Linked DNA regions of Neurospora crassa OR74A. The protein of the gene in region 1 interacts with the protein of each later gene in a pairwise test. Links are inferred from orthologs where the notes say so. Each region holds a gene or a part of one and is shown on either strand. Other genes may lie near its edges. The genes, in order: NCU03357 and NCU02358.

The links.
Region 2: the proteins of NCU03357 (region 1) and NCU02358 interact in a two-hybrid assay, tested with the Schizosaccharomyces pombe proteins (2 studies listed by BioGRID). The link is inferred for Neurospora crassa OR74A from reciprocal best matches to the Schizosaccharomyces pombe genes ufd2 and sds23.

Annotation. Positions count from the first base shown.
Region 1 is NC_026502.1:987,513-996,495, reverse strand, and holds the start of NCU03357 (ubiquitin conjugation factor E4), read left to right. Parts: upstream 1-5,731; coding exon 5,732-6,486; intron 6,487-6,548; coding exon 6,549-6,762; intron 6,763-6,821; coding exon 6,822-8,224; intron 8,225-8,280; coding exon 8,281-8,983. Other genes in the region: NCU03355 (calpain-5), read left to right, coding at 1-30, 100-484, 572-919; NCU03356 (hypothetical protein), read left to right, coding at 2,455-4,290. UniProt on the Schizosaccharomyces pombe protein: E4 ubiquitin chain-elongation enzyme specifically involved in polyubiquitin chain assembly.
Region 2 is NC_026507.1:2,753,638-2,762,727, reverse strand, and holds NCU02358 (SDS23), read left to right. Parts: upstream 1-4,413; 5' UTR 4,414-5,013; coding exon 5,014-5,433; intron 5,434-5,504; coding exon 5,505-5,971; intron 5,972-6,040; coding exon 6,041-6,782; 3' UTR 6,783-7,199; downstream 7,200-9,090. Other genes in the region: NCU02357 (importin subunit beta-3), read right to left, coding at 1-1,780, 1,852-2,685, 2,776-2,958; NCU02359 (hypothetical protein), read right to left, coding at 7,599-8,480, 8,640-9,090.

The DNA.
Region 1 (8,983 bases):
GCGTATGGTTGAGGATGTTGTCACCCGATGGTATGCTTAACTCAAAAGCCTAACTTACGCTTTGAAAATTACATGTAGACTAACAACGACTGATACCAGGGCCGAGGAAAACCCTGCCAAACTCCGTCAAATCGGCATGCAGTATGATCTCGCCCACGCCAAGGGCGGCGTCCCCGATGAGGACGAGATCATCACCCAGAGAAAGGAAGAAAAGAAGAAGAAAGAGGAGAAGAAGAAGACCAAGGCCAAGGCTAAGCGTGAAAAGGAGCGCAGAGAAAAGAGGAAGCAGAAGCAGGTGCAGATCACCATCAACATGCCTGAAGGGTCTACTGTGGACACTTCCGGTACCGGTACAGAGTCTGATAAAAAGGAGGAGAAGAAGGAGACGGCCGAGGACAAGAAGGAGGAAGAGGAGAAGTTTGAGGATGCTGTGGAGGAGAAGGCCAAAGATGATGAGAAGAAGAAGGAGGAACAACCCAAGAGGGTAAGTGCTCCTTCATCCTCATCCAAGAGCGCCGGAGACGCTGCGGCTGGTGAAGGAAAGAATACTGAAAAGAAGGACGGTGAACAGAAGGAAGATACTGCTGCTGCAGAAGAGAAGAAGATCGAGGAGAAGGTCACAGGGGAAGAGAAGAAACAGGAGGAAAAAGAAAAGATAGAGGTAGTTGGGGAGTCGAAGCCGACGGCGGCTGCCACTGAAGAGGTTGAGGAAGACCTGTCTGAAGATGAGGAAGAAGAAGAGGAGGAGCCCAAGATCGAATATGAGGAGGGCAAGATTCCCTGGAACGCCGTCTGCGTCGTTGGGCTGAGGGTGTATGCTCAGGATGCCGATGTCACGGTAACGCTGGCGACCCCGAACACTGCGGAGGAGGGCGCTAGTCTTGTTATGGATCAGCACGCTGTTGGGGCTACCATTTGAGGGCGTGGATTGTGAGCCAGGTGAACTTTATGAGAACAGGTTGGAGACTCTGAAGGATACAAAATACCTACCTAGGCTGTAGTCATGATGTAAGGCAGAAAATGATCTCTTCTCCCGGGGTTACTTGGTTCGAATGTGAATGACTGGAAAGCTTTACTGGGCTCCCATAGACGGACTCGGCATGTGATGACAACTGTCATACCTGTGTCCTGCTTTAGGCCCAAAGATTTTCAGTGTTTCGATGCCTCCAGCAGTGCGTTCGAAGCCCTTGGATATGGCGATGGCCTCGGGATAACCCCCAGTCTTCATCATTCTCATATTTCTTCTTCCCTTTTCATGTACCTCCTCAGTTCTTTGTCCTTGTACTAATGAGGTAGCGACAGTGCTGCTAAGGGGTCCAGAGAGCACGAATAGAGAGGGTCAATTCAAGGGGTTGTGCAAGGGAGCCCCAGGCTCTTATTTCCATGATTTGGATGTCAGGAACCTAGGTACGTTTTGTGACCTATCTCACTAACACTCCAACTAGCTAGTGGATAGCTGTCATGTTAGTAACCACATGATTGATCCCCTAGAGTAACCAATTCATGTTGACGTCAAACTAGAGGAGTTACAGTTGAGAAGGGGCTGCGGGGTGGTGTGTTGGCTATCAAGGTTCCCGTTCCCTGAAGAGCACCGCTAGCGCAGGGGCACGATAGTAGCATTATCTCTCCTAGGACCTTCTTAAGATATGGTATACATCACGAAACAAGGATTAAGAGGCTATTCTGAGCAATTTTGTTATGGGAAACAGCCGATCCTTCATCCTCTTTGGTCTCAATGATCTTGAACCCGTGAATAACTGCAAATCAGCCCATCATATCCAAGGTGTTGGCTTCGAACAACAGTCTCTTTGTTGGGCTTCGGGTACCCGGACTAACATGCACTGATAAACGCATCTGACCTCGGCTGACGTCGGGCTGGTCCCAGCATCCAGTCAGTGCCTGGAGGTCCCCTAAAATAGCGCCTTATCGGTTATCGCCTGGGGCTTGTTCCTTCCCGTCGGTTGCGTCGCTCGCCCCCTCCGCCGTCTTCGGCTTTCGACTTCATCTTCTTCTCGCCATCGTCAACCACCAGCGCATCTCCGAGACTACTCTGTGCCGCCGTGCAAGACAATTCGGCGGTCACCTGCAGCGGCTGACCTGAACCATGGATAGGCACCGAGACTAGTCACAATCAAGCCTGTGTCTGTTCCTTTTCTCCAGATCCGCTGAGCCCCTCTCTCCATCACCGCATCAATATGATTCTTGGAAAGTGGTGACCGCCTCGAACGAAGACACCTGCCCACTACACCACACCAACAGCAGTTAAATACAGTCTCTATATATCTTCAATTTCCAATTGCTTCCAACTCCCTCGAACAATCCGCGCCGTGATACCCATCTCTTGTCCGATCTTCAACAATCAACAAACCATCAAGTGGAACAGCAGGCCTCGGGCGAATGGAAGACAACAATATCAACCCCTCTACACCATAATCAAGAAACCCCAATCTGCCAATGTCATTCGAAATGCCGCCACCGAATACACCCGAAGAAGGAGTAGCAGCCCCTACGCTCTCCTCGCGAGCTGACGCACGCCGGATTTTCGGCTCCGGGGTCCCCTCTACTATCTACGGTTCTCCTGCCTCGTCCCCGGGCGGCTCCAGACGCAGCTCAGTTGCCGATTACGGCCCGTATCAAGTCCCTTCACGGGGTCATACGCACCATCAGTCTCAATCTGGAATCGACTACCAGGCGCTCGACTATGCCCAACAGATCGACGAGGCTTTGTTATGTCCCATCTGCCACACGCCCTTCTTCATGCCCATGACGACCAAGACGTGTGGTCACACCTTTTGCGCCTCGTGCCTCGACCGCGCTCTCGAGACCCAGCACGTATGCCCTATTGACCGCCGACCCCTCGACATCAGCCGAGACATTAGCCAGACCCGAACCCGCGTAATACTCGACCAGCTCGACCGTCTCAAAGTCAAGTGTCCAAATAGCGGCTGCGATCATGTTTGCTCGCGGGAGCTTCTATACGCACACGTCGAACGTTATTGCGGACAAACCCTTGTTCGCTGCCCCGACCATCATTGCGACGAGATGATCTGCCGGAAAGACGCGCGCCCCGAGAACGGGTGTCTCCATTACGTTACGCCCTGTCCCTACTGCGAGATGGCCATTACTTTCAACGACCTCGAGAGGCACTACGACCAAGAGTGTACGGGACAAGAAGCCGAGTGCCCGCACTGCGACGCTGTCCTCGTCCGCCACCGTCTGGCCAAGCACATTGCGACTGACTGCCGCGAGGTCGAAACACACTGCCAGTTCCGGAGCGCTGGGTGCAAACAGGTTGCGCGGAGGAAAGATATCGAGGAGCATCTCAAGAACGGGTGCATCTATGAGGCGATTGCGAATCTCATGCAGGCGCGGGAGGAAGACCACAAGATTATCAATGAGTTGAAGGGACGACTAGACGCTCTAGACGGACGAACACGACATCTGGAAAGATATGGTGGTGGTAGTGGTGGTGGTGGTGGTGCTGGCAGCAGTGGGGTACGGGAGTCATCTGCATTCACCAGAGCAGCGCCGCCATCGTCAGGCCTAACCGCTGATGCCCTCAACAACTTGAACCGTATGCAGTCGGCCACGTCAGGCTACGCAGACATCGACGAGGCCAATCACAACATCACGCTGGATGACCTCTTTGAAACTTTCGACCAAGAAAACAACCACCACAATGACAGCAACTACAGTAGCCCACAAGCGGCGGCGGCAGCGATGGCGGCGGATGCACCCCCGGCCCCGTGGGCACACAACAGTGGCGACGGGCCGTGGGAGTCACCAGAGGATTACATGCTTTCCCAGTTTGAGGCCATGGAGGCCAAGATTGAAGACTTGCGCAAGATGATGGTGGAGCTTGACGGGAGACACACAATGAGGCTGGTCAATGATACGATGAGGATGAATGAACAAATCGCCGAGCTTGGGAGTAAAGTGGGAGTATTAGGAATGCATACTACGTGGTTGATGAGCATGCAAAGGCAAAGTCGCGGACAGCAAAATGGCTCTGGGTCAACGCCCGGGACTACGAGATCAAATATTTCTGCTAGTGGTGGTGGCAGTGGTGGCGGCAGTGGCGGTACTGGTGGTAATAACGAGGAGGGGAGAGGCAGGACGAATGCGGCGGCGGCTGGTGCTTCCAACTCGTCAAGGACGGCTACACAGACACAGCAGAGTAGCAGAAATGGTGATGGAGAGAGTGCGAGAGGGAGGTATCTCAATACCAGTGATATCCCGCCGTTGAGGAGGAGTAGCGTGGGGAGGGGTGAGAATCCACCTCGACTTTGATGGATGTTTGGGTTCGCCTTCCTGGGGCAGACACTGGGGTCATATATTTCTGCTGCTGTGCCTCAGTGTCTGAGCCGTCCCGAACGGAAGTAACAGTGTCTGTTGGTTTTGGAAACATACCATAATGGTCTGAAGGAGAAGAACGGGTATGCATAGGTTTTGTATGTTGGCGTTTGGGATGGATCGGGAAAGCACTTGGAGGTTGTCTTATTGCAACGTCGGGCCTTGGTCTAAAGCTTAGATAGCCTATAGACCAAAGAATATAGGAGACGAATCAAACCTCTGTGTTGGAATTTGGCACGCTTGAAAGAGCTAATAGCAACTGAAAGAACGGCTACATGGTCTAGGTCTGTTTCCCATGGTGTTTTGGACAAGACGGCTTTCAAAGTATCTAGAATGCTTTGACTTTGTTGGCTCCCCGTAATCTTCTTACCTATTCATGTAGATGAGTTGAACAATGACAGCTGCATTCCGCATTTACGGCGAAGGAAAGTCACTGTCACATCCAGCGTTATACTAGTGATTCTAGGGTCCTTCCATGAAAAACGCCAACGAAGAATTAGTTATCATCTTCTTGTCATTCAGCCCGTTTCTGCTTCATTAGGTTGCGAGGTTACCTCTACATAGAAGTACCCCTTATGGTAGACTACATATGTAGTACAATGGTGCTGGTTTGTTTGTTAGCTTGGTACCTAGAGGTACTCCTGGTACACTGGACGAGATCTCCCGTCTTCCGAATTGTCCCAAACCGTACAAGGACTGAATGAAAGGCATGAACAAGATCCAATTCGTTCTCTTTCATTTTGGAGAAATGGAAGCATATTCCCAGTCTGAAAACGCATAGTCTAAGAGGTAGCTATAGGGACGGGAAGTTGATCCAAAGACCCGCGGGAGCTAACAATCGAACCAGTATTGCCTACAGTGCAGTAAATCATGTCCCGCCAAAAGCACTAAATGTAAGTAACGTCCCGAAATACCCCGCCAACCTGTGAACTCCAGGAGCTCCATGCAGTAGGCTTGTTCGGGGCAGGCAGGCTCCACGTCACATTCACAGATGTCAACGTAATCTTGTCAGCGCAAAAGGTGCATGGGAATTGCTACTTCCTCCTGATCACTATCCGAGGGCTTTCCGCTAGAGTATGCTAGAGTCATTCCTTATTACTACCTAACTTTGGCACCCGCACTATCACATACTACTGTGGTTAGCTCAAGAGCGAAGTACCAACCTTGAGCACCCGCAGCCGAAGACAACCTCCAGCTTCGGACAGTCACCTCCATCCTCCTTCTCCTCATCCTTCGCCTCAACCTCCCAACGCACATCCAGCTTTACGTCGTCACCGCCAGCTTGAGCCCTTCTTCTCCTTAGGCTCTCTCCGTCACGATAATCACAATATCCGTACATCCTTAATCCCTTTCCTCTTCGCCCAACGACGACGACAAGATGGATCCGAATCAGCAACAGCCGGCGGCCACGCCGGATGCGCCTGATAAAGAGACGATGGAGCAGATCCGTGCCCGACGACTGGCTAAGCTCGGTGGCCCCAATGTCGCTTCTACTACATCGCCAGCTGCGTCCTCTTCCACGCCTCAGCCTGGCACCGAAACCCCTCCCGCTGCTGCTGCTGTGGCGGCGGCGGCGGCGGCGGCGAGTTCGTCAAAGATCGAAGACAAGGCACCGCGAGTTCAGCCAAGGTCGATAATCAAGCCGGCGTCACGAGATGTGCCAGAGCCACCACCAGGTAGTTCCGCTTCCCGAAAGAGAGAAAGATCCCTTTCAAATATTGATGATATTCCATGCCCACCAGCACCGCGAAAGCAATACAGGGAACAGACGCTCGAGGAATGGACCGACAAGCTACTCACCAGCATCCTTCGCGTGTCTCTCGATCCGAACCAGACCTTCGATAGCAGTGGCCATAACTTGACCTTTCTGCCAGAACTCAGCCAGGAAATTCGGGGCGAGTATCAGGAGCCCTTGCTGTCGATCGACCGATTTCAAGAGGCCGTTATGGAGGCCGGAAGGATCTATCCGCCGCACAAGCCCCTATTCGAATACTTCCTGGCATGCTGGAAGCGGGTCACCAGATATAGGATATTGAGGGCGTCGACTCCTGAGAAGGAAGAAGCCCTCAAGGAGGCCAAGCGCTTGTGCTTCTCGAACTGCATCTTCGCCGTTACTATGCCCGAGATGTTTGGGTATTTATCCCCCGTGTCCTCTTTACAGTTTGCTCTAGCTGACATGATCCAAATTTGAAAAGTCGAGAACCAAACCCAAAGCACGATACCATAGTCCCCTACATTTTGGAAGGTGTTGCGAAGGAAGAAGGCCTCGACATCGAGTTTTACAACGAGGCCATGACACGGATCGAGGACGACGATAGCATTGTACCTCTCTTCACCAAGGCCATGGTGGAAATCAGCACAGCGCTGTCTACCAAAAACATGAACGGCGATTATCAGCCGCACGTCCAGGTGAGTTTGACAAGCGACTTGAACGAATTGTGCTGAGCGTTGACGTTGGAACCTCACAGGCCCTCTTCACATACTCGAGATATCCGGCTCTCGTGAACGCTTTGGCGGAACACCCTACTTTCCTTATGGCGCAATCAGCCCCCAACATTGAACGGTTCACGCTGCTCGGGCCATTCTTCCGCCTGTCGCCCTTACACCCAGAGGCGGCCAGTTACGACTTTGCCGCACCAAGGACTCTTGACAAGGGCCGAATTGGCACAACCCAACAATCGTTACAAATGACGTTGGCTGCCCATCAGGAACACTTGACGACGATAGCTAATGCCTTCATACGAGCAAGCACTAGCTCGAGAAACAAGCTCCTGGACTGGTTCGCCTACATCATGAATGTCAACCATAAGCGCACAGCCACTTATGTCGACCCCAAGACCGTTTCGTCGGACGGCTTCATGGTCAATGTCACTGTCGTCCTCGACAATCTATGCAAGCCTTTCATGGATAACTCCTTTACCAAGATTGACCGTATTCAGGTCGACTACTTCAGGCGGAAGCCCAGATTGGACATCAAGGAAGAGACCAAGCTCAACGCTGACCAAGAGCACTCGGACGCGTTTTACTCTACAAAACTCGAAGGGGAGAACAACTTTATAACAGAGGTCTTCTTCCTCGCTTTGGCGGCACATCAGTATGGCACCGAAGCCACCCAAAACAAGCTAAAGGAACTTGACAAGCAAATTAAGCATTTCCAAAAGAACTTGACCCTTATGGAGGCTGACCGTCCCAACATTGTCGCCAATCATCCGGAACGAGTACCTATGCTAGAGGCGGCGCAGAGGAGACTGATCAAGATGCTGGAGAGCGCCATGTCGGCCAAATTTGCCATCGAAGGCATTATGACCGACAAGACGCTGCAAACGCGGTCACTACAGTTCATGAAGTACACGATTGTGTGGCTACTGCGAGTAGCCAGTCAGTCCGACTACGTCCCATGGAAGAAAATCAGCCTTCCGCTGCCTGAAACTCAGCCAGAAGCTTTCAGGTGTCTTCCCGAGTATGTTCTGCAGGTAATTGTTGATAACTTGAAGTTCACCTTCCGCCATAGGCCAGAGGTCATGGTCTCGGCCATTGGTGACGAGGTCGTTGCTCTATGCATAACGTTTCTGGAATCCTCCGAGTACATCAAGAACCCGTACTTGAAATCGTCGCTGGTTACCCTCCTTTATCAGGGCACCTGGCCGGCATACCATCTTAAAAAGGGCATTCTTGGCGACATCCTTACCGGCACCAAGTTCGCGAATGACTACCTGCTACATGCTGTGATGAAGTACTATATTGAGTGCGAGTCGAATGGTACCAGTTCCGCGTTCTACGAAAAGTTCAACATACGTTTTGAGATCTTCCAGGTTATCAAGTGCGTCTGGACCAATGACCATTACAAGAAGCAGTTGACAGAGTCCAGCAGGTCAGTATATGTTTTGTCCTACGATCTCTTTGCTGAATCCGACTAACTCGACCTAGGGTGGACCGCGACTTCTTCGTTCGTTTTGTCAATCTTCTCATGAACGATGCAACATACGTTCTGGATGAAGCATTGAGCAACTTCCCCAAGATCCATGACTTCCAGCAAAAGCTAAAGGACCCCAGTCTTTCGCAAGAGGATCGCGAAAAGATGGAGAGCGATTTACACGACGCGGAAAACAAGGCCAGTTCCTATATGCAGCTTGCGAACGAGACAGTCGGCATGATGAAGCTCTTCACCCAAACCCTGGCTGAGTCCTTCACCATGCCAGAAATCGTTCACCGCCTGGCCGGTATGCTCGATTTCAACCTTGACCTCCTCACCGGTCCTAAGAGCCGGACGTTGAAGGTTGAGAACCCCGACAAGTATGGCTTCAACCCCAAGATTCTGCTACCGCAGCTCGTGGACATCTACCTGAACTTGGGTTCCTCGCCTGCCTTTGTCGAGGCCGTTGCTGCAGACGGCAGATCCTACAAGCCTGAGACCATGGCGTCTGCCACCAACATTCTTCGCTCAAAGGCACTCAAGAATCCTACCGAGATGCACGCGTGGGAGGTGTTGTGCAAATGCTTCGAAGAGGCCAAGGCCATCGTCGACCAGGCTGATCTCGACTTTGGCGACGCACCGCCCGAGTTCGAAGACCCCATCATGGGCGACTTGATGAAGGACCCGGTGATTCTACCCAGCAAGCACGTTGTCGAT
Region 2 (9,090 bases), on another chromosome or scaffold:
TGCCATACGCAGCCGCTTGACGAATAGCGGGAGAGGCATCCTGGCAGCCGAGGAGCAGAGGCTCCGAGATATACTGGGCGTAGTGAATGCTCTCAGCACCACAGTATTCTAGAACATCATCCATAATGCACAGTCCCCACTGTCGCTGGGTGGTATCATTCGAGCTCAAGAAGCTGCTGTAGGTGGGAAGCAGGCGGCTCCAAGCGCTCAAGAAGCTTGCGCCGTGGTACTTGAAAACAGCATGGAACGCCTTGTTCATGTCCGAAAGGAGAGTCTGGTCATCCTCAATGGCCATCTGCATCTCTTCCGACTCGTCCTCGCCATCTTCACCTCCTTGCTCCTCCTCACGAGCGGCTGCCCGATCCTTGTAATCCTCAAGAGTGGAGTGGACACCGTCGATGAAGCGGCCCATGTGCGTCTCATCGAGGCAGGCAGTGCCGATGACCTCGATGGACTCATAGAAGCATTGATACATCTCCGCGAGCGTATCAATGGCAGGCTCGGCGCTAAGAACGTCGAGGAGCTGAACGACGGTGCTGGTCCACAAGCCCTTGAGCTCGTTGGAGCCGGGACCGTACTGCTTCTTGTATGAAATGAGCAATTGCGGAACTAGCTTCGCAGACATGTACCTGACAGGATCGTGGAAGAAGAAGGCCAGACCAGGAAGAGCAATCTTCTCCATGATGTCTGCGACATAAGGCGCAAAGTCACCCTCAAGGACCTGAGCGTACACCACGAGCAGCTCGATGGCCATGTTCTTATCGTCCATGGTGCTGGTACGGATACCAATAGTCTTGCCACGGAGCGGGACAAGCTCCCACCCTTCCTCGGTCTGTAGCTGCTCAATCTGCTCGTCGTCTTCCAGAAGCTGGATATCGGCCTTGGCGCTAGCAAGCTCGAGGAGTGGCGGCATAACCTCGGGCAAGTAGGGAAGGAAATCCCTACCCAACACACGGCACATTCTTCCCCAGCAGTGCATGAGGTACTGGGCCTGAGGATCGTCGGGATCAGTGATGTTTTGCTGGATGCTGGCCAAAAGTTGCACTAGCGCCATGGCATCCGCACCGAGACGCTCCTTTCCAACCGCAAGGGCGATCAGGGTGGCGCACTCCATCGCCTTTGCACGGAGGAGGCGGACCTCCTTCTCATTCTCGCGCTGCAACACTCCCATCAACAGGGGCATGAGAGTATCATAGTACTTGGCAAATGCCTGCTCTGCGGCGTCAGCGATGGTGGCGATGGTAGACAAAGCCTGCTCTTGGACGTAACGCTTTTCATTCTGAAGAAGCTGGAACAAGTGCGACAAAAGGTTGTCGAGATAAGGCTCAAGGACACTCTTGTCAGCCTCCTCACAAAAGTTCACAAGCGCCGCAGCAGCATGTGACTTGACCCGTGCCTCGGGTGCGTTAAGGACGGGCACAATGGCCGACAGCACAATATCGTAGTACTGCTTCTGCATAGTAGGAGCAAAGTCGGTGCTCATCTGGCCGAGGGCATTGCAGCCAGCCCAACGGACACGAGGATGGGGGTCCTTTAACGCCGGGACAACCAAGTCAAGGACCTGCCTCAGTTCACCAATCATCTCCTCGCGGCAGCCTTCTGAAATGGCGGACAGAGCCATCAAAGCAGCGTGACGGTCTCTCCAAGCCGGGGAGTTCATCATGCTAGGCAACCAGCCGAAGATGGGACTGAGAATAGCGGCACCTCCGAGCTTATTAGCCAGACGATCGAGACACTGCTCACCTGCGACATGGTTGGAGTCACTCTCGTCGGTGTCGAGCTGCATAAACGCCATTAGCACAGAGCCAATGTATGGGCCCCACAGAAGTTACAAGTGACCCAACAACTTACATCGTCGCAGCTAAGCCATTCGGCCGCATCATCGTCATCCTCACCAAGATCCGTCATCAAGCTAAGGCACTGTGTGATCATATCCTTGGTATAAGAAGCATCCTTCTTGCACATGGACGGAGCGTAATCGGCAAAGGTGGCCATAAGTTCCAGCGCATTTTGTCGGCAGAGGTCTGTGAGCTCCTTGTCTTGAATGACCGAAATGCTGAATCCAACAAGAGTCGAGAAGACGGTCTTGAACATCTTGGGGGAACTTTCGGCCAAGTCGATGAGAGCGATGAGGGCCTGGCTAAGGTCGTCCGAATCTTGCGAGTCCTTGATAGGAGGAAGGATGTTGAGGAGCTGAGGAAGGAGCTCGAAGTACTTGGCCTGGTTCTTCTTTCCCAGGCTGCGGAAAAAGGCCGCAAAAGCCTCCATAGCAGCAAGCCTGACGGCAACCGACTCGTCCGTGAATGCTTTGGCAAATGCCATGGCTACGGCATCCTGATGTTGTTTCTCAATGATGCTAGGGGTAGCGTGGAAAATGCGGAAGGCCGTCTCGCGCTTGCCAGCATCGGGTGCTTGGCTGAGGTTGAAGAGAGTCTGAAGTAGTTCTGGCCAATTTTGGTCATTGTCATAATATTGCCTAGCAACCTCGGCAACCGCATCACCAATCTTGTTGCGAACGTTTCTGTCTGTCTCGGCAAGGATGGCCTCGAGAATCTTGTTGCGGACAGCGACGGCCTCGTGGTTGTCAAGGGAAAGAAACATATCGGTAGCAGCCTCGGAGGTCGGCGTGGCTTTGCGAGTTTTGAGTGTTATCCGGCGGAAAATGACGGCGGCGAAAGAACGGACCTGCAAGGTTCAAAAACGAGTGAGTTATATGTGAGCAGTGACACGCTGAGGCGACCGGCCCAGCAAAAGAGGGTTGCGAAGAAGCCATACCGAAGCGTCGCTTGATCCAGCAATCTGCTCAGCCAAGCCCATCAAGAGGAGGCCAGGCCGGGAGCTGGTCCAGTTGTTTTGCAAGTGCTCCTCAGCCTGAGAGCGAATGTTGTTGTCGGCCGACTGAAGAGCCTGGAGCAGCTGGCTCAGCTCGGCCGTAACATCGGCGGGAAGGACCGACATGATGAATGATGTATGTTGCGAAGTAGAGTGCTAGTTGTGTCTAGTTGGTGCCGTGGGGTCGGGGAGCAGAAGAGTGAATCGCAAAGCACACTGCACTCCTTACACACAATGTGTGACCCTGGGTTATCGTCGGTTGGTGGGCTCTGGAAGAGGCGGAACGTGGTTAACGATGTTGGCCCAACAACAACATCAGAACTCTCGCTAAAGTCTGATACGGATGAGGACTGGGAAAAAGGCGGGCCAGGGAGGACGGACTTGAGGTGGACACGGCAACGGTGCGGATGGAGAAGCAACTCGAGTGCCAAGTTGATGATGGATTGACGACAGGCGTCGACGGTGACCGTTAGTGATACCGAGACTTGAATGAATTCAAGTCGCGATAAAGGACGCGTCCGAAACTCGACTTTGCTCCAGTCAAAGGTGGATTTGGATTGTCGAGAATTGGTGATTTGATGGCTCTAGACTGGCTCGAAAGGGTCGAGGGGAGTGGGAGGGGGGGGGGCATGGACCGTATGAAAACCGAATGGACAATATTTTTTTTTGATTGGGTCTGGGTCAACCCGAGCTCATGAATGGAGGGGGCCGAGGGGCACACGGCACTGTAGCGTACAAAAGTAGGTGCCTCTCGGCATACCTAAAGGTAGCATAGGGCAGGCAGACATTCTACCTCTACCTCCCGTTACCTAGGTAGGTAGAGGTAGGTACCTACCCCATAAGCGCCCAGGTTCCCCCCGCCGCGTCGCTAACATCCCGTTAGAGCACAGCACCGTTTGCTATGTGATCACCTAGTAAATAACTATCAAGCGGCAGAGGTCCGCTAAAACTACGGAGTGGGGCAGTGGCATCTTGAGATGGCCACCGGTTCTGGCCGTTCCTTCCTCCAACCTATGGAAAGCTCCAGGGCGGCCCCAGCTTCCACAACTTGTGTGCCCAGGCTTCCACTGCCGGGTGGGTAGGGCGTCTGTGATGATCATGATCAACAACATGGAAGGGAAGCAGGACTCGGAGGTGAAGGCCCAGATGAAATGTAGGTGACAGAAAATGGTGGATAGGCCTGATCTAGGTCTAACCCCATGGAGTTCCCTCCCCCACTGGATATGGATGGACTTTCATCGACAAAAACCTAATTGCGCCAGGCTGCCTTCAGTTCGCACCTCAGCCTACCTCTACTTGCCTACCTGATCGCCTCTGGGTGCAGCGCAGCAACGGTCAACAGGTGACAGCCTCAGCCCTGTCCTGCCCTGCAGGTGACCTTATCGCCGGACACTACCTGTGTACAGACTATCCGCACGCCTTAGTGTGAGAGTAGCCTGACAGTCAGTGACGAGAGGGAGGCTAGTGCTTCCCGCGCATAGGCTAGACAGGGGCAACCCCGCACCATCACGTTAAGGTAGGTATGCTCAGGATAGGTACGTGCCGCGGCTGGACCATCGTCATTGCTCTCCCGTTTCTGGACTTGAGAATCAGGCGGACGTTTCCATAGGTTCCTGTTGCTCTCGACTGGTCAATGCTTTTCTTGCTTCGTCAGTTTCGTTGGCAGTCGCAACAAGCCGATCTGAATCTTTCTCGTAGTCTTGATCTCGACTTTACCTATCACTGAGTGTTTGATTCCCGCCATACTACCTCTACTACACTCTCCTGCCAGATACTTCAGAATTTCAGATACACTTCCACCATTACCTACCACATACTCGGTTGCGCAAAGACGGCGGCGGCAACGACCCCGAGATTGCAGACAAGCTCAAGTGAAACGCTATCTACATCTACATACATACGAAGCATACCTGTACCTTCCGAACAGCGGAACCGACTACGACGGCAGCGGTCACCTTGAACTTTCGGCAAAGATACAGTACCAGTAGTAGCTTCTCTCCGCGCATCGATCTGTCGTGAACCATCTCCAACTGAACTACCCTAAGCTCTCTTCTTTCTTCGGTCTTATCCGCATCATCGCCGTGTCCGCCGCGGGTGCTTCAAGTTGCGTGCATTATTACCCGAGAAATCCAGCAACAACAACATCAACAATAACACCATCACCACATCTCGGAAGCTTCGATGGAGTCCTCATCAGAAATCACAAAATCGCCCTCTCCTGGCACATTGGCCAACGCCAACCCGGGCTTACCGGTCTCTGACACTGCGCTGTCCGGCGCCTCGCTCCCGTCTCCTCCAGAACGCTCCAGCTCTCAAGGCGGCAACCCCTTGTCCAAAACAACGAGCAATGTTTCGTCACATTCGCATCGCCAGAGCTTCGCTGAGAACCAACGTCATCCGCCCCCCTCGCCACGTACTCAGAGACACCCCTCCTTCACACAGCAAGCAATTCAAGACCTGATGAGCCACCCACCGCCAAACCGCCATCAAAACCCTCGCTATGTCGGCCGTGACTGGCGGGACATTGCCATTGGCGAGTTATTGCAGCCGGATGAAGTCAAATGGGCGGAACTGGACACTAGTATCCAAGAGGCCACCAAGGTGCGACAGTGCCTCTGTGCCAATCTTCGTCGTTGGTTTGGACCTTGCTGATATCGTTACTTACTGTCCAGACCCTGTTTCAAAGTAGTCCGAACAATGTGGTCCTTGTCCGCCAGAACTCGTCTTCGAAGGAAGCCGTTTCTACCTTTGACCACAGCGATCTCAATGCCTACCTTTTGGCCGTCGTAGGCCTGGCAAAGCCCGAAGAAGAACAGGTCGCTCTATATACAGATATTTCGGTCAAAGCGCAGTCTCAGGAAGAGATCCCGTTACGTACCCTCCAACCCATCTTTCGCCACGAGGAACTGGTGAAGCTCCCAGCCGATTCCACTCTCGATAAAGCCATTGAAGTGTTTGGAGGCGGCATTCACCGCGTTCTGGTCACCAATAAGGACTCAGAAGTGGTGGGTATCTTGAGCCAGTTGCGCCTACTCGAGTTCTTCTGGTACGAGGCCGTCAATTTCCCCTTAATTGATCGTCTTTACACGATCCCGCTGCGTGATCTTCAAATCGGGACGCAGCAAATCATCGCCATCAAGTAAGCCACCTCCGCTTTGTGTACCTAAATCGCCCGGTGCCCTGAAGTCGCTTGGCTAACATCTCCTAGCGCTGACGCTCCTCTTGCCGATGCTCTCTTTCTTATGAGCTCCGAGGGGCTGACATCTGTCGCGGTTGTGGATAACGGCCACAACGTTGTGGGAAATATTTCCACCGTTGACGTGCGCCTCCTAACCAACGCCAACAGTCTGCCCCTGCTCAAGGCTTCATGCATGCACTTCGTCAGCGTCATTCTCTCCGAACGTGGTGTCGAGCATGGCCGTGACTCCTTCCCAGTTTTCTACGTCAATCCGTATTCTACCCTAGCTCACACGGTCGCCAAGCTGGTCGCAACGCAGTCTCATCGTATGTGGGTAGTCGAGTCCGCTTCGCCGTCGCCTAGCGCCCCGGCTACACCTTTACTGCAGGCTTCCAGCTTGCCTCCCCTTTCAACGTTATCACCTCCGGTTGCTTCGCCCGGCAGAGCGGGCAGTCCTGCCCCTGGATCGGCAGCTGTTGTCGTTCCTCCACCAGGTGCCATCACAACGTCGACGCCCCAGTCGCCGCCAGCACAGGGGCCATTCACCTCGGTTCCGGCTTCGGCGCTGCCGGGTGCTGGACTGTCAGGGCGCTTGACAGGCGTGGTGTCGTTGACGGACATCCTAAACTTGTTTGCAAAGACAAGTGGCCTGAGGCCGTTGGATCCTAGTGAGCAAAGGGCTAGGAGAAGACGGAGCTCGAGCTGTTCAGTCCGACCTACGCTGGATACTGGGAGAGATAATGGAAGAGGAAGCATTGATTTTCGAAGGTGATGTCCTGTATAAGCAGAAATCAAAGTTAAACACATGGACAGCTTCAGGTAGATTCGATAATTACTTTTGTAGGTAGCAAGAGGGTGGAGTCCGATCAAGACAGCCCCGATATGCATAAAACGGAACAGCTATGGCTTGAAGCAAAAGGGGATGCATTCTACTGCCTTCCCTATATCTACTTGGTAAGGCATTCGTTGTGGGTGGCTAGCAAGATTGGGATGGTTGCTGTGTTCATTCTCTATACGGGGTTCCATATATGATGCCGGCCTTTCAAAGCTGCAAACTAAACCGAAATACGATACTTTTCGACTATGCAATGGCGCCATTATCGCGCTGATTTCTTTCTAGCTAGTAGTATGGTTTTCCATGACTTACATGTCACAGACTAGCACGCCATTTAACCTGAGCTTATGGCAGGGCTGCTCCCTCTTTGCTCCTAGACGGTGATACCTTTCGCTTCACCTACGTCCGGGTATCCAAACACACTGCTTCTCTACCTCTCCCGTGGTCTTGGCCTCAACCTTTGATCCCCCTCTCCCCACTTTTAAACTGCCTGAGCCTTAATATCCACCACCTATTGAGAGGGACATCGAAACAGGGTATCTATCTATCCCATGCATACCCAGGTTCCCTGAAAACGCCCCCCTCCCTTTCCCTCTCCATTAAAACACCGAATTATAGGAACAAAGCAGTATTGGTACAGGTACAACAACCCTTTCCACAATTGTGTGGGCTGAGGGGGGTTTGGTTGCTAGATATAGCTCCATCTTATTCAAAGCAATCGCAAGATGCCGAACCTCCACGTAAGCACACCATTTAATCCACTCCCATGCTCTGGTTCCAATCGAACTGGGGATCGTCTTCTGGTCCTCCAATCCCGGCACCATCGAGCCTCGACCCATCGTCGGCTTTGAGAGCACCGTTTCGTCGAGCTGTGGGCTCATGAGAACCATGTGAGGAATCCGAAGTGCTGCCGCCATCGCCATCGTCGTGCTCGCCCTCCTCATCCGATTCCGGGAAACTCCCCGCCATCTTCAAGCTCATCCCCCTTTCCCGCCCGCGCATATGCGGGGGCAGGTGGTCGTCATCATTACTCACATGAGAGACACTCCACCTTCTCACTGATGAAAACAGCGTTGTCGCTGCTGACGATTTCCGTTGGGGGAAACTGCTGGTGTCCTCCGTTTCGTCCGAAAGATCCCACTGCACGGGTATCCTCTCGCCTCCCTCGCCGGATCCCAAGACCGCGCCGCTCTTTTGTCCAGCGGTGATGCGCGCCGCAACGGTGAGCATGAGGCTCATCAAGTGAGTGGGAGGCGCCATCAAGATTTCGAAGGATTTATTGATGACCGTCATGGGTAGCTTGCGCACTACTTCGAGCTTGCTGGTAGAGGGCGCCCTTCGACGAGGCGCAAACAAATCCGCAGCACGTGGTAGGGGTGAAAGCGCTCTCCTACTGGGGGATATGCTGCTGCTTGTTGTTGGGCGGCCGCGGATGAGAGAGCGACGACTGCTGACGGAGGGAGATCGGGAACGGGAAGTCGGTGATGCGTTGGGCGACGGAGTAACTAATATTAGTCCTGTTGTTGTTGGGCTACATGGAGAATCGGTGTCATGGGTAGACGAGGGAGCTGTGCCGTGAAATGTCGAGCTGGAGGTGGCGCTTCGATCAATTGCTACCGGGCTGGTATCCGATGTCTGGGAAATGTTAGATCGATTTGCCCTATCTAACGTGAGGGTGGATGAGTCTTCCGCTGGTTTGTTCTTCTTTCCAGGTGGACAGGAAGAGCCTGAAGGAGACGTCGGCTTGGACAAGGGTGGGGAAGGGGGGAAAATATGAGAGTTGCATGATCGTACACTGTAGAAAGAGTCGCGGGAGGTTACCGAAGACAGTGATCCGGGTATTTCTGGCGCATGGCCGTCCAGTTGATATATGGATGGCTCAGTAGAGTGCGATGCAGTGACCAACGTTAGTTGCGGGGGTGCGGCAACAGAATGACTAGTTTGCTGGCCGCTTGGTATGAGAGGGGTCCTTGTGAAATTCCGCGAAGACAACGACTCTGGCTGCTGTGGTTCCTCCTCGGGCTGACTTGAGAGTGTAATGTCGGGTACCGAAACGATGTTATGCTCCTGTATTCTAAACAGATCATCGCTGGTGGGTAAGGTTGACTGGCTTGTGGTACCAGTCGCTCTTCTCTTGCGCACTCTGATGGTGTCATCTTTAGGCGGACCTCGGTGTACACGGGCAATCTGGGCGGGTATCGTGATCGCGCTGACCGGGGTGGGAATGATGGATTCACTAGATCTC